Daphnia pulex: one gene and its partners. The protein of the gene in region 2 interacts with the protein of the main gene of each other region in a biochemical or structural test. Links are inferred from orthologs where the notes say so. Each region holds a gene or a part of one and is shown on either strand. Other genes may lie near its edges.

Evidence for each region.
Region 1: the proteins of E3 ubiquitin-protein ligase parkin-like (region 2) and ubiquitin-conjugating enzyme E2 J1-like form a complex in vitro, tested with the Homo sapiens proteins (4 studies listed by BioGRID). The link is inferred for Daphnia pulex from reciprocal best matches to the Homo sapiens genes PRKN and UBE2J1.
Region 3: of the proteins of E3 ubiquitin-protein ligase parkin-like (region 2) and eukaryotic translation initiation factor 4B-like, one has a biochemical effect on the other in vitro, tested with the Homo sapiens proteins (2 studies listed by BioGRID). The link is inferred for Daphnia pulex from reciprocal best matches to the Homo sapiens genes PRKN and EIF4B.

Annotation. Positions count from the first base shown.
Region 1 is NC_060019.1:13,202,146-13,205,742, forward strand, and holds ubiquitin-conjugating enzyme E2 J1-like, read right to left. Parts: upstream 2,324-3,597; 5' UTR 2,161-2,323; coding exon 2,130-2,160; intron 2,049-2,129; coding exon 1,843-2,048; intron 1,770-1,842; coding exon 1,227-1,769; 3' UTR 1,011-1,226; downstream 1-1,010. Other genes in the region: alpha-(1,3)-fucosyltransferase C-like, read right to left, coding at 1-509, 593-701, 776-786; 5-methylcytosine rRNA methyltransferase NSUN4-like, read left to right, coding at 2,585-2,695, 2,770-2,943, 3,005-3,413, 3,474-3,597. UniProt on the Homo sapiens protein: Catalyzes the covalent attachment of ubiquitin to other proteins. Functions in the selective degradation of misfolded membrane proteins from the endoplasmic reticulum (ERAD) and is essential for cells to recover from ER stress.
Region 2 is NC_060026.1:3,260,524-3,265,304, forward strand, and holds E3 ubiquitin-protein ligase parkin-like, read left to right. Parts: upstream 1-1,820; 5' UTR 1,821-1,931; intron 1,932-1,991; 5' UTR 1,992-2,046; coding exon 2,047-2,304; intron 2,305-2,369; coding exon 2,370-2,559; intron 2,560-2,620; coding exon 2,621-2,960; intron 2,961-3,028; coding exon 3,029-3,365; intron 3,366-3,427; coding exon 3,428-3,553; intron 3,554-3,620; coding exon 3,621-3,705; intron 3,706-3,770; coding exon 3,771-3,880; 3' UTR 3,881-4,383; coding exon of another isoform or gene 4,384-4,530; 3' UTR 4,531-4,592; downstream 4,593-4,781. Other genes in the region: histone H4, read right to left, coding at 180-491; histone H3, read left to right, coding at 786-1,196; translocation protein SEC63 homolog, read right to left, coding at 4,384-4,530, 4,599-4,781. UniProt on the Homo sapiens protein: Functions within a multiprotein E3 ubiquitin ligase complex, catalyzing the covalent attachment of ubiquitin moieties onto substrate proteins. Substrates include SYT11 and VDAC1.
Region 3 is NC_060026.1:16,025,167-16,029,991, forward strand, and holds the start of eukaryotic translation initiation factor 4B-like, read left to right. Parts: upstream 1-1,515; 5' UTR 1,516-1,758; coding exon 1,759-1,771; intron 1,772-2,042; coding exon 2,043-2,180; intron 2,181-2,253; coding exon 2,254-2,423; intron 2,424-2,497; coding exon 2,498-2,614; intron 2,615-2,674; coding exon 2,675-2,915; intron 2,916-2,978; coding exon 2,979-3,431; intron 3,432-3,497; coding exon 3,498-3,783; intron 3,784-3,847; coding exon 3,848-3,932; intron 3,933-4,170; coding exon 4,171-4,658; intron 4,659-4,757; coding exon 4,758-4,825. Other genes in the region: V-type proton ATPase subunit F-like, read right to left, coding at 667-696, 757-879, 940-1,022, 1,093-1,174, 1,248-1,298. UniProt on the Homo sapiens protein: Required for the binding of mRNA to ribosomes. Functions in close association with EIF4-F and EIF4-A. Binds near the 5'-terminal cap of mRNA in presence of EIF-4F and ATP.

The DNA of each region.
Region 1 (3,597 bases), on a different chromosome or scaffold from region 2:
CGATCGTTTGCCGTTTTGCAGTTGCTAGCGAACCAGGCCACTGTTTTATTCTTAGTCGTAATGTCGATTCCGTAATAATCACTGAAATTAGGCCGAATTGTGTGAGGGTTGGTTTTGGGGTGGAATTCGAAACCATAAAATTGGTTCCTAAACAGATCAGAATCAAATCGATATGTGGCCGTCCAGTTGAAGAAATGATGAGGTAATTTTTCGTATATTTTCCGAGATTTGGCTTGAGCGTTAATGGGGGACTCAAAGTTGAAAAAGATGTAACGTTGATCCGGTCTTCGACAAGTTGGAAGACGAGTCAGTGAGTCACTTGTGTGAAAGTGAAAAACAATGGCGTCGCTCTCTGTTAACAAGCGTCGGTCATTAATGAGTCGACAATTGCTAACGGGACAAATGCCGAAATCTATCTCTACTTTTTGGCCAAACCAAGTCGTCCAGAATAAAATTGTTTTCACTCGATCCGTGGAGTTATCTGCATAATAGGGGGCAACGCAATCATCCTATATGTCGTTAGAGATTCAATTTAGGAGATATCATCTGTTTGTTTTTTTTAAAATAAAGATCTAGATGTCGAATAATGTACATTTGTGCCGAATCGAAAGCCAGGTGGAAGGTAATAACAGACCATGACGAGAGTCACAAAAATGATGCAACAAAAGAAGAGTCCCCACTGTTTCTTTTGATCTCTTTCGCTATAGTTCAGGCATTGGAAAAAAATTAAAAGTTTATTAAGAAACAGCGAAAACTTTGCAGCGAGCTTTTATACCTTTTACCCATGATGATGACATCTATACTACCGTTGCACTTTTTCTAGACTAATGGAAATGAAAACCTGTAACCTAATCTATCAAAATGAGTTATCTTTTCCCCGCGATGATGTATTATCTGTCCCGCTTATCTTCACTTCAAAATCCAACTGTATTCCTACGTTTTCCTGTACCGGACAGAAAGAAAATCAAAAAGTTACATTTGAAACATTAAAGTTTTAGAGACCAATTAAATCACCTGAAATTAATTATAATTATTTATCTGCAATAAATGAATACACAAATCATACACAATTTTCATTGCCACATTGTTACAGAATCAAGTTGAATTTAGCAGTCCCGTTATACGCATTCTCCAGGAACAAGATCCTCTCAACATTTTAACTCTACTAGTCATGAATTTTTGGAAATCAATAAAAGATTTAATATTTATAGATTGTGACTCCAGCCTCAGGCAGCACTCGTACCCGAAGCAAATCGACGGAACAAAAGGATTGCCAAAGCCACGATGATGGCCGCGATTATGTAATTATAGGTAAGATCATTATTATTATTGGTGCTAGCTGTTTGTACTTGCTGGGATGGTGGTGGGGGCGGCTGGATGACAGCAATCGGCTCTTCAGTGTTTGATGCAGGCTCTTCAGGCGGGTTTTCGTTGTTCGATTCACCCTTCATTGTAACCTGAGCTGCGATCTCTCGGGCTTCTGCTTGAACGGCTTCGTTTTCGTTTGTCGTCAGCTGACTGGGCTCTTGAAGAAGATTCAAAATTTTCCCACATTCTGGGCAAACAAATTCTAGCGATTTTTTAGCCAGCCTTTGTCTTTCTTCTTGTGTGTAGTCCAGAGATGCGATGGCTCCCATACCAGGAGATGGCATGAATCCAATAATAGCTAGCAACGCTGTCCTTATGGACCAAGAAGGAAGCCAAGATTCAGGATGGTGACCAGATATACTAAGACATATTTTGCGATTGACTTCAAATCTTCCATTAGGCTGTGGAAAAGGAGAAACAATTATTTACTAGGTCAATTCATTCAATATCAATAAATTAATGAATAATACATACTGTCAGAAGCATTATGCTTGGCGGTTTCAAAGGGTATTCAGGAGGGAGGGATATCCTTCCATGATACACTCCACCTTCAAAATCAGAGTCGGCCGGACCTCTTACTGAGAAATGCCATTCAAACAAATTGTCTTCTACAGGCTGGGCAAAATATTCAGCAGTGGGCTGTGATAGCTCTTGAGCTTCTCTCATCAGCCTTTTCACAGCTTTAAAAAACATATAGATTAGTGAAAACAGACTTGATGTAACAATTGCTATTGCACAACAAAAGTGAAAATATACATTACCAGGACTTTTCATGTTGTATTTGTTTTCCATTTTATTAAGTGCACTTCTCAAAGAATGCAAATACAGAAATGGTATCACTGAAACTGATTGTTATTACCACATACAATTGCTAACTGAATCTGACTGAGATACGTCGATTTATTTGGGATGACGTATCGTAACGAAACGCCAGTAGCAGTAAATGTTGATATTAAAGTCTCATTTATCTATCCATAGATGGCGTCCACACTTCACATTTGTCGTCTGCTCTGAATCGCCCGAATTTTGTATTTTGCAATTTGCATATTTCCACGAGACCTCGATTTTTTCTTTCTCCTCGGCCACGTGAAGTGAAGGTGCTGCAAAAAGATCACAGTCGTGTCTCGAGTGCCCAAATAATCCAAAACCAATTCCAAAGGCAAAGATACTGAAAAATTAAAAAAAATCACGAACGCATGAAAATAATTAAGCAAACATGTTCGCTCGCAAGTGGCGTTCAATCTCGAAATTGCAGCAAGCTGTCGGTAGTGGGAATTTCCCACAATTTTTTGTCAGCCAGCGGCACAAGTTTGACAAAAGAGAAGCTGTAAGAATGAACAAAATATTTCTTTTTATACCAACGAATGAATTTGTAGTATACCGAATTTGTTTTTTTATTAGAACTTGTGGTCCAAAACCAACACAGATAGAGCCCTGGATCATTTCGATGATTTTTATGGTACATTTTATGGAGACCTTTGGCCAGCAACAAGACTTGCAATGTTGTCTACACCTAAACATTGTGCTTTAGTTAATTACTACGGTGACTATAACGAAACTATTGAAAAGCTCAAGGTACAAGTACTTGGGTTCAAATGTGAATTCATTCGATTGATTTTCATTCTCTTTCATTCAGAATATGGGGTGCATGGATATTCAAGAACTTTTTGAACAAAGCCGTTCCAAAAAAACCAAAACACGTAAAACCCCAGAAAACATGCCTACTGATGTCCTCGAAAAGGAAGCTGGTGTTGAAGATGAGGAGAGTGAAAACTTTCAAGAGCTCACAGATGACAGAGTCATCTCTCCTGGTCAGACAACTTCTGCCTACTTGAATTTTGTTCCGACAACAAAATTAAAAGGGATGGAAGATTGGCTAGAGGAAGAAGATCAGTTTGAATATGTCAAGCCAACTTACGACTTTGTGGTTGAAAAGCAAAAAGACGAACGCCTGGATTTCCCTTCTCTGCTCAAAGCGTTTGTTTTTCCACGAGGGGACATCTCGCGATTTCCTTCCCCTAAAAAAAGTACTTTTGGTACTTCCAGTAAGTTCAGTATCTAGATTCACTTTATGGATTACTAATTGTCATAGATACTTTTACTAGATTATTACTTGATGGACGCTGCATCTCTACTTCCCGTATTGGCGCTGAACCTACAGCCAACTGAGTCTGTCTTGGATTTATGTGCAGCACCAGGAGGGAAATCCCTGGCTATATTACAGACGCT
Region 2 (4,781 bases):
AATAAAAGAATGATGCTTATTAATTCAAAATTCAAGGATTTTGTTCTTGTAGCAGCATAAAGTCGACAAGAATATGGTTTAAAAAGTGGTTAAGAAATCTTTTTCTTTAAGTAAATGGTGGCCCTGAAAAGGGCCGATTGGATTGAGTCAGGAGTTAAAATAATAAATCGGAATCAAATTTAACCGCCGAAGCCGTACAGAGTGCGGCCCTGGCGTTTCAATGCGTAGACGACGTCCATGGCCGTCACCGTCTTCCTCTTGGCGTGTTCAGTGTAGGTGACGGCGTCACGAATCACGTTCTCAAGGAACACCTTCAACACACCGCGGGTCTCCTCGTAGATGAGACCAGAGATTCGCTTGACACCACCACGACGGGCAAGACGACGGATGGCCGGCTTGGTGATTCCCTGGATGTTGTCACGCAAAACTTTGCGATGACGTTTGGCGCCTCCCTTGCCGAGTCCTTTTCCTCCTTTGCCGCGACCAGTCATTTTCAAATAAGTTTCAGAGATTTAAAAAATATCGAATGATGTTATGTTAAACTCACTATGGTCCCAATATATACCCTACCGGATCCTCAAGCTGAACTCCTATTGGTGGAACTCAGCTCCAGCCATCATTTGTCAACAAAAAGGATTTCCGTTATAAATTTTCTATTCCCTCCCATTTTTGAATTAACCAATCCCTAGCCAGTGAACTCGCTTAGCTCTGCAACGTCCGTAGGTTCCCCACATATACCAAGCACTTTTCACTAGTTAGGACATCTGAAATTTCACTCGCTCGAAATGGCTCGTACCAAGCAAACTGCTCGTAAATCCACCGGTGGCAAGGCGCCCCGCAAACAGTTGGCCACCAAAGCCGCTCGCAAGAGTGCCCCGGCCACTGGAGGAGTCAAGAAACCCCATCGTTATCGTCCCGGCACCGTCGCCCTTCGTGAGATCCGTCGCTACCAAAAGTCGACCGAGCTTCTGATCCGCAAGTTGCCATTCCAGCGCTTGGTCAGAGAAATCGCCCAGGATTTCAAGACAGATTTGCGTTTCCAGAGCTCGGCCGTCATGGCCCTGCAGGAGGCCAGCGAGGCTTACTTGGTGGGTCTTTTCGAAGACACCAACTTGTGCGCCATCCACGCCAAGCGAGTCACCATCATGCCAAAAGACATCCAGCTCGCTCGTCGTATTCGTGGTGAACGTGCCTAAGCGACCTTTTCCCTTTTGACTTACCAATCGGCCCTTTTCAGGGCCACCATTAGTTGCTTGAAAAGATTTTTCCTGCCAGACATTTCAATATCTTGGATTAAACTAGATCAGTATTGTTTAATTACCAACTTCTTTCTAATTTTCTGGAAATTAATAGTTGTATAAATTTCTTTCATCCAAGGTTGAATTTTAGAATAATTAGTTAGTTGCTATAAGAAGTGTAACGTTATATAAGACCTAAAACTAATTTAATTAAAAGTAACCCAGTAACATGATTTGGTCGACTTCTGTTGGGTTCGTCATTTTCAGTTAAAGTACGGATTTCGATAATTACTTATGTAAATAAACGTGTAGGTATGACCGAAAAAGAGGGGCTTACGAAAGAGGTTAAGTATATCAAGGATTTTTCGACATTACTTATTCTAGAAATTTACAGCAGTTTTTAGTTTGACAAGTTTAAGTTGACCTTCTAGAGCCATAAAAGCCTACAAGCCACAATCTCACTAAACACCAGAATAACAGATAATTTCGTTACCTTTTATATACTCTGCTAAATATAATAAGACGAAGTTGACTTGTTGATGAGAGTGACGAAGAGAAGGTGCTAGCGTCAACCTACTAACTAAATATTATGACGAAATTGTTGCTAGTCCATTTCACAGCAGACTGCAGACGACGTTTGTTCCAATTCATTTCAACCGAAGCCAACGTAAACAATATTTTCAGTTCGTGCCGGTATGCAATATAAAAATATAAAATATTTTTGGTTATTTAAATTATACATTTTTTACGTAGATATCTCGCTTTCATAATGTTCTTCAATCTTGGGTTTTTCACGTAAACCTACAGAATGATTAAATGGCTGTTGTCGCTCATACGTTCATTATTGAACAGAATTTTGAGATTTTTTTGGCCCAGTGATTCAAGTGAATTTACCCTGCCTGTTCACATAAAAGCTGCAGGAGGTAAAACATTTCTTATCGAAATGAGTCGAGATTGGGATGTAGCTCGGATCAAGAAATTTATAGCCCCTAAAGTTGGTCTGAAAGTTGAAGATATCAGCATTATTTTGGCTGGCAAAAGTCTTGCTGATGACTTGTTACTAGAGGTTTGTTAATTTCTTATATTGCTTTTGTTGATATTCTAAGTTTAATTTACCCAACAAATTTTTAGGAGTGTGATCTTGGTCATAATAGTATTCTAAATGCTGTTAAACTTAAAGTCATAAAAAAAACTGATGCAACTTCTTCCGAAGACAAAAATAGGAGAAATACACCATTTCATCAAGACAAGCCTCTTTGTGAAACATTGCTCGACTTGCAGTTAACTGAAGAGGAACAGAAATTGTTGCACAAATCTCTGGGTACGTCTGCAAATAGTTTTCCAAATCATTTTATGAATTCTGACAACTTCCTCGTTTTTAGCTTGTAGTTCTCCAGAGTATAAGCAAAAGAAAGCTCAGTTTTATGTTTACTGTGAATTTCCATGCAAATCAATACAAAGTGGTAAACTTCGAGTTCGATGTAGCCTTTGCAAAGCTGGTGCCTTCACCGTGGACCGAGATCCTTGCTGCTGGGATGATGTTTTACGACCGGAGCAAGTTAGTGGTACTTGTCAGATGGAAGATTGTGATCATTCGTGGGCCGAATTCTACTTCAAGTGCGCACATCACCCTTCACGAGGAGAGACTGACTCAACTCTTCCTCTGAATCTCGTCAAATCAAACTTCAAACAGGTTCAGTGCCTGGCCTGCATGGATATTAGGTAGCAATCGTTTTAAAGTTAAGATAGAATTCAGTAACTTGGCAACTTATTTTAATATCCCACTTTAGTGATCCTGTTTTGGTATTTCAATGTACCAACTCTCATGTGATATGTTTGGAGTGCTTCCAGCAATACTGTATGTCTCGATTGAACGAAAGGAGGTTTGTCTTCGATCCCAATATCGGTTATACCCTGCCTTGTCCAGCTGGATGTGAGAACTCATTGATCGACGGAACCCAGCACTTTAAAATTCTAGGAAATGAGCAGTACCAACGACTCCTGCACTTTGGAGCAGAGGAATATGTTATGTCGACAGGTGGTGTGCTTTGTCCACAACCTGGCTGTGGAATGGGCTTACTTGCGGACCCTTCTTGTCGCCGAATTCAATGCACAGGGGGATGTGAGGTAAGCATATTCTCATAAATATAACCTTGTTAAAAAATGTCTAAATGTTTTTCGCAACTCAGTTCGTGTTCTGCCGCGATTGCCTACAAGGCTATCACATCGACGAGTGTCAGACAAATGGAGAAAACAACTTTCAATCCATGTTGACAACCACCGAGTACGTTGTAGATCCCGGACGAGCTGCTCAGGTTTCTCTAATATCCACATTTGAGCTTGATTCTAGATTAAATGAGTAACATGAAATTATTTACTTAGGCGAGGTGGGATGCAGACAGTCGCGTTACCATACGTGTTACTTCAAAACCTTGCCCAAAGTGCCGAACGCCAACCGAGCGAGATGGTAAATTAAATTATGATCTGGGATTATTTCTCTAACGGTGTAGCTAATTTCTTGTTTGTTCACAGGAGGTTGTATGCACATGATCTGTACTCGACAACAGTGTGGATTTCATTGGTGCTGGGTTTGTCAAACGGAGTGGACAAGAGAGTGCATGGGAAGTCACTGGTTCGGATAAGACAACCTTTCCGCTTTCTTTATCAACCCTTTTATAAAGTACCGTGGTTCCTTGGTGTCGGGTAGTATAAGGGTGGAGAGTGTACATTTCTTTACGCTATACTAGTCAAGAAATTGATGACATTTGGTTCCTATAATAATCTAGACAAATCTGTTAATTGAAAATTGAAATGAATCATTTATCCGAAATATTCAAATGCTGTTCTAGGGAAGTCTTAAGAAGCCTTTAATTTTCCAACTGTCACAATCAAAATATTGCAAACATCCCGTGTTTCACCGATTGAAGGCCTAGACAAGATTTGTGTAATCGGCAGTCGAGGTATAGGGAATGATAAATACCCATATGTATAGCCAATGAAAATAAAGCCAGAAGATTCCCACTAGAAATAAATTTTTCAAGATTTTAAGCCTTTACAAGACGGTGATGAAATTGAATCCTTTTTCCCAATGAACAGAATGTTGAAGTCTCTGGCAAGTGAAAAAAAAGTCTCATTTCTACTGCAATCAGTCCTTGCCACTCTCTTCGTCATCATCATCGGTAGCAAATTCAGATTCGGAGCCTCCAGAGTTCTTATCTTCTTCATCCTCATCATCGGAAATATCCCATTGTGGATGCTCAGTAGGAATCTCCTCTGCTTCTTTAACGTCCATCTGTGAATTAAAATTTTAATCAATCAATAACCTATTTAGCAAAATTAAAATAATTAGCCGGAATATACCTTGATATCCTTCATTTGATCAAAACCAAAATATGAATCGGAGCGTAAACACACGGCGAACGTGTAGAATCCCGGCTTGAACGGAGCTGTGAATTTGAGTTGGATTTCTTCGTGCTCTACTAGATTGGTAATGTGATAGGGGGCGGTCAGAAGCATTTGTTGTTTCCGGTCCGTAATATAAGC
Region 3 (4,825 bases), about 13 Mb from region 2:
AGACGCCAGTCTTACACAATAATTCAGAACCACTCTCTGGAAATTTTCGCACTGATAAATAACCCTCAATCTAATCTTGGACACAATTGGATTGAGGATTCGCTTGCCTTTGTGATCCTTCTCAAGAATTTTAGTCTGGCCTCCGGAGGATTCTATCTAATCAAGTGGAAAAAGATGAAAATAATTTATGATTCCGTCTTAACTTCGACAGGAATTGGTTACATCTTATCACGCTTGATGATCACGTTGGCAGGTGTCATAGCAACTAAACTTCCTTCAAAATCTTTTTCCTTGCACAAATTTGGGTTTTTTTAAAGAAAATATTCAACAGGCTAAAAAATCCAATTACGTACTATACTTACTTTTCCTCCCAACAAAGAAGCGCTGATTGATAAAAGATCTCCCAAGTTGGCCCCATCTTTTCTGACGTGAATCTCCTAATTGGCTAAACTTTCTTTTTGGGGAAACGAGGGGGTCGATAATTTCAATCGATTGCCGGAGCGGAAAGTTGTGTACATAAAAGACTGTTGATTGCTCTATTTAAGGTTCAATTAACAATGAAGACTGGACAGGAATGCATCAAGGAAAAAGAAAGAAAAACACCCAACAACAAACAAAAACTAATTGGGGAATATATTCTACGCGCCGATGGCAGTAGGACTTTTATTACTTGGTGTCTTCGGCGCTAAACATTCCCTAGAAAAACGAAAAGAAATGATTTGATCAGTGATTATTGAATTAAAAATAAAAACACACCTTGGCACGACGGAGAATGGAATCTTTTGACGCGTCGTAAGGATGATCTTTGGAAGGAATTTCGAGCACTGCTGGAATTGGTTCATTGTGGTTGTCAATCACGTGCCTGATCATCTCTGCTACCTGAATGATTAAGCGAGGAAGTGAGCAAACACGTAATCAATTCATTCCATTCAAACTCACATTCTGGTTGATGAGAATGATGTCAATGTCATCTCTCTTGAGGAAGCGCTTGAAGCAGTCCTCCACTTCGCTGATGCTCGTATCTGTATGAAGCATAACAAGGAGAAAATTTTACTTCATTCTCCCACCTCAAAATCTCAAGTTGTTTCGTACTCTTGTCTACGACCATAAAGTTGGGCTGCCTGTTTTTGTTCATCTCTCCAATGCCACCCAAAAGGAATCCAACACAAGTGTCCTGCAATTAATCATTGTTTTTTAAAATTTGGAAACCAAATGAAGTTCGATAAAATCATTTTTAATATATTTACCTCATCACCGATGACGGCTATAAGCCTTCCTTTCGCTGCAGCAATGGCCATTTTTGTGTATAGTAAATTGAAAGAGAACTAAAGTGAATTGAGCTAAGACTTCTCTTTCTAGTTTCTAGTCAAAAGGGAACTGTCACATGACTCGTGAAAAAAAAACACACCGACTTTCAATCGTGAATCGATTCATTTTATTAATCGATAGCAGCAGAAGAAGCCATCCAACGCCACCTCGTGTAGATTGGTGGCAACTACATTTACATTCGTTTCGGCAACTAGATATTCGAGGCAGAAAACTTGTTGGCTTGGGTTCGGCAACCAATATTAAATAACAAATATTTCGTAAACTGCTCATTTTAGATACTGAAACTAAATCAAAATTGAAACAGGATTTTTAAACTTCTATGATTTAATTGTGTAAAAAAAATTACGTGACAAACATAAGAATTGTCCAACGAGTCCCGTCCTCTAGCTCTAGTAGTCCGCGCACTGACGAGTGCATTCAGAAAAAATCATGGCTGCTTCCGGTAAGGAAAAATTTCTCCTCGTGGCATTTTCTTGATATTTACTGTTTTAAGCTCGATAAAGAGACCGGTGATGTCGAATAATTGTTTTCCATAATTTCGTCTACGTCGTGGAGTAATTTTTATTTTTGTGGTAACAATCGGATAAAGTGACGTTAGAAATCTTTCCGGTTAAATTCACATGTGGCACTTGTTCGCTTCTGATTTGTCGTGTATAGATTATTAAAAATGGTGCCTTGAATAATGATGTGAATTTTTAACTGTTGAATTTCAGCCAAAAAAGGGAAGAAATCCAAAGGAAAGGTCCTGTCATTGAATGAGTTCCTCTCTGACGACCATGGAGGTTCCAGGTCTGGAGAAGCTGTCGTCATGGCACCCTCCAAAACCAGTTGGGCTGATGAAATGGAAGATGGCAAGTCAAATATTTTGTTTTAATACGCTGACATATTGAGTATCAACAATGTAATTTTTTGTTTTATTTGTAGAGGCGATTTACAAGGAGAAGCTGTTGTTGCCCACAGCACCACGGGCAGCCAGGGGATCAGACATTGATGAATCTAGGATACCCAACAATGCACCTTACACAGCTTATATAGCCAATCTACCTTATGATATTGAAGTAGAGGATGTATCCAAGTTCTTCCATGGGCTTTCGGTAAGAAATTGCGCTTTCACAACAGCAACTTTTTCTCTACTGATATTTCATACTCTTTTTTTCTGGTTACCTAGGTTAAATCTGTCCGTCTGCCAAGAGAAGGTGGTGATGGTGGCAGACTGAGAGGCTTTGGTTATGCTGAATTTGAAACTAGGCAAGATTTAGTTGACGCCCTTACGATGAACGAATTGGTAATTTTGCAAATTTTTCTATTTGACCTTGTAGTGTTTCCATTTGTCCTTGTTTTGCAGATGATTAAGAACCGCAAAATCCGAGTGGACATTGCTAGCGGCGCAGATGGTGATCAAGAACAGGGCGCTGGCGGTATGGGGCGAGGTCGTGGCCGTCCTACTCGCAATGACGAGGAAAGGGAAGATCGTACCCCTTCCGATTGGCGTAATGCACCAAGGGAGGGACCTCCTCCAGGCCAGGATCGCGGTGGTGGTGGTGGATTCAGGGGTGGTGACAGAGGAGGAGACAGGATGGAACGAGGTAAATTTGATTCAACAAATTTGATTTCCCAGCAATGTCTTTAACTATTCTGTTTGAAATTAGAACCTGCTGGCGAACGGTACTCTGCTTCATTCAATCCAAGGGATCGCCCACCCGGCTCAGCTCTTTCGTCTGAGAGAAGTTCATTTGGTCCCAGGAGAGACGGTCCTTCTAGTTCGTTCGGTGGCGGCCGAGACGGTCCTCCAAGCTCAGGTTTTGGTGGTCGCGATCGCGATGGTCCTTCATCTTTTGGTGGACGTGACCGAGAAGGCTCGTCGTCGTTTGGAGGACGAGATAGAGAAGGTGGCTCATCTTTTGGTGGACGTGATAGAGACGGTCCGTCTTCATTCAGTCGCGGACGTGACGGTCCTTCTTCGTTCGGTCGAGACAGAGAAGGCGGCTCGTCGTTTGGACGTGACCGGGACGGTCCCTCCTCTTTTGGACGTGAGCGAGATGGTCCCTCGTCGTTCAACCGTGACGAAATGCAGCGAAGTGAACGCCCAAGCGCTGCTGGAGGTAAGTTGACACGTTCTCCCTTTTTGCATTGGATTGTTAATAAGATTTTTCATTTTGATTATTTAGAACCGACCAAGGAAAGACCAAAGTTATCTCTGAAACCCCGATCTGTCCCAATTGAAGAGGGTTCCGTTGCCGATGAACCAACTGCTGCTGTTGCTCCCATAACTGAACGGCCAGCTGCTGCTGCTGCCCCAGCTCCAGCGGCTCCACCCAGCTCTGCATCCATTTTCGGTGCAGCCAGGCCGGTGGATACTGCGGCACGTGAACGCGCCATTGAAGAACGGCTCAAGGAGAAACAGATGAAGGAGCGGGAACCGCCTCTCCGTGGACGTGAAACTGATCGCCAAGAGTAAGCTCATTCAAATGTTTTATTTGATTCTCGAAACTTAATTTGTTTGTTTTTTAAATTTCAGTGATAGAAATCAACGCGATAATTCCCATGGCAGTGGTGGCCGTTCCTCTGAACGTCCCAGCGGAGGGCGCGGGCGCTCTAGCGAGGTGAGATTGAATTGAATTTCGCTTTGGCTTTTAGTTTTGAAATTAGCACCTATAAATGAATTGGCTTGCATGAATTCCCTTTGCATGTATTGAGTCGTTGCATGGTGCTTAACATTAAAGAGTTGAGGGACAGACACCCAGACTAGTTGAATTTAAATTACTGTCGGGGTCGTATCTGCTCAAACAATTTTTTGATCAAATTTTAATTTTTTTTTAATGTTTTTGTAAAATTTCACAGGGAGAGAAGACGGACGATCGACGAGACTATCGTAATGACGATCAAGACAATCGGCGTCCAGCACGTGATGGTCCTGGCTACTCTGGAGATTCACGACAGGCGCCCAAAGATGGAGACTATCGGCCGCCTCAAAGGTCGACCGCCAATCCCAACGAATACCGTCCGCCAGTGGGTGGTAGGGGGAGCAGCGGCGGAGGAAATGAATATCGTCCTCCCCGACCCAGTGGTGGAGCTGATCGTCGTGACGGAGATCGCCGTGAAGGAGACCGTCGTGACGGTGATCGTCGCGATGGTGATCGTCGTGATGGAGATCGTCGTGACGGAGATCGCGATTACCGAGGACCTGCTCCCGCCAGAGATGGCGACTATCGTCCACCTCGAGGCGATGATTCCCGCAAAGAGAATGGATTATCTCGTGGCGGAGGTGGTGGCGGAGGAGCTGGAATTTACCGCGCTCCCTCTCGTGGAACTGGACCCAGCAATGAAAGGTCTTGTAACATACGAGTTATGATTTTAATTATTCTTCAATGACTGACTGTTTTGTGCGTTTGGTCTTGTTTGTTTGTTTTTATTCGTTTCGATTGAAGGACGCGCAGTCGTGACGATCACAACGGAGACAGACGTCCAGCGGCGCCTGCTTCTTCTGCATCCAGCG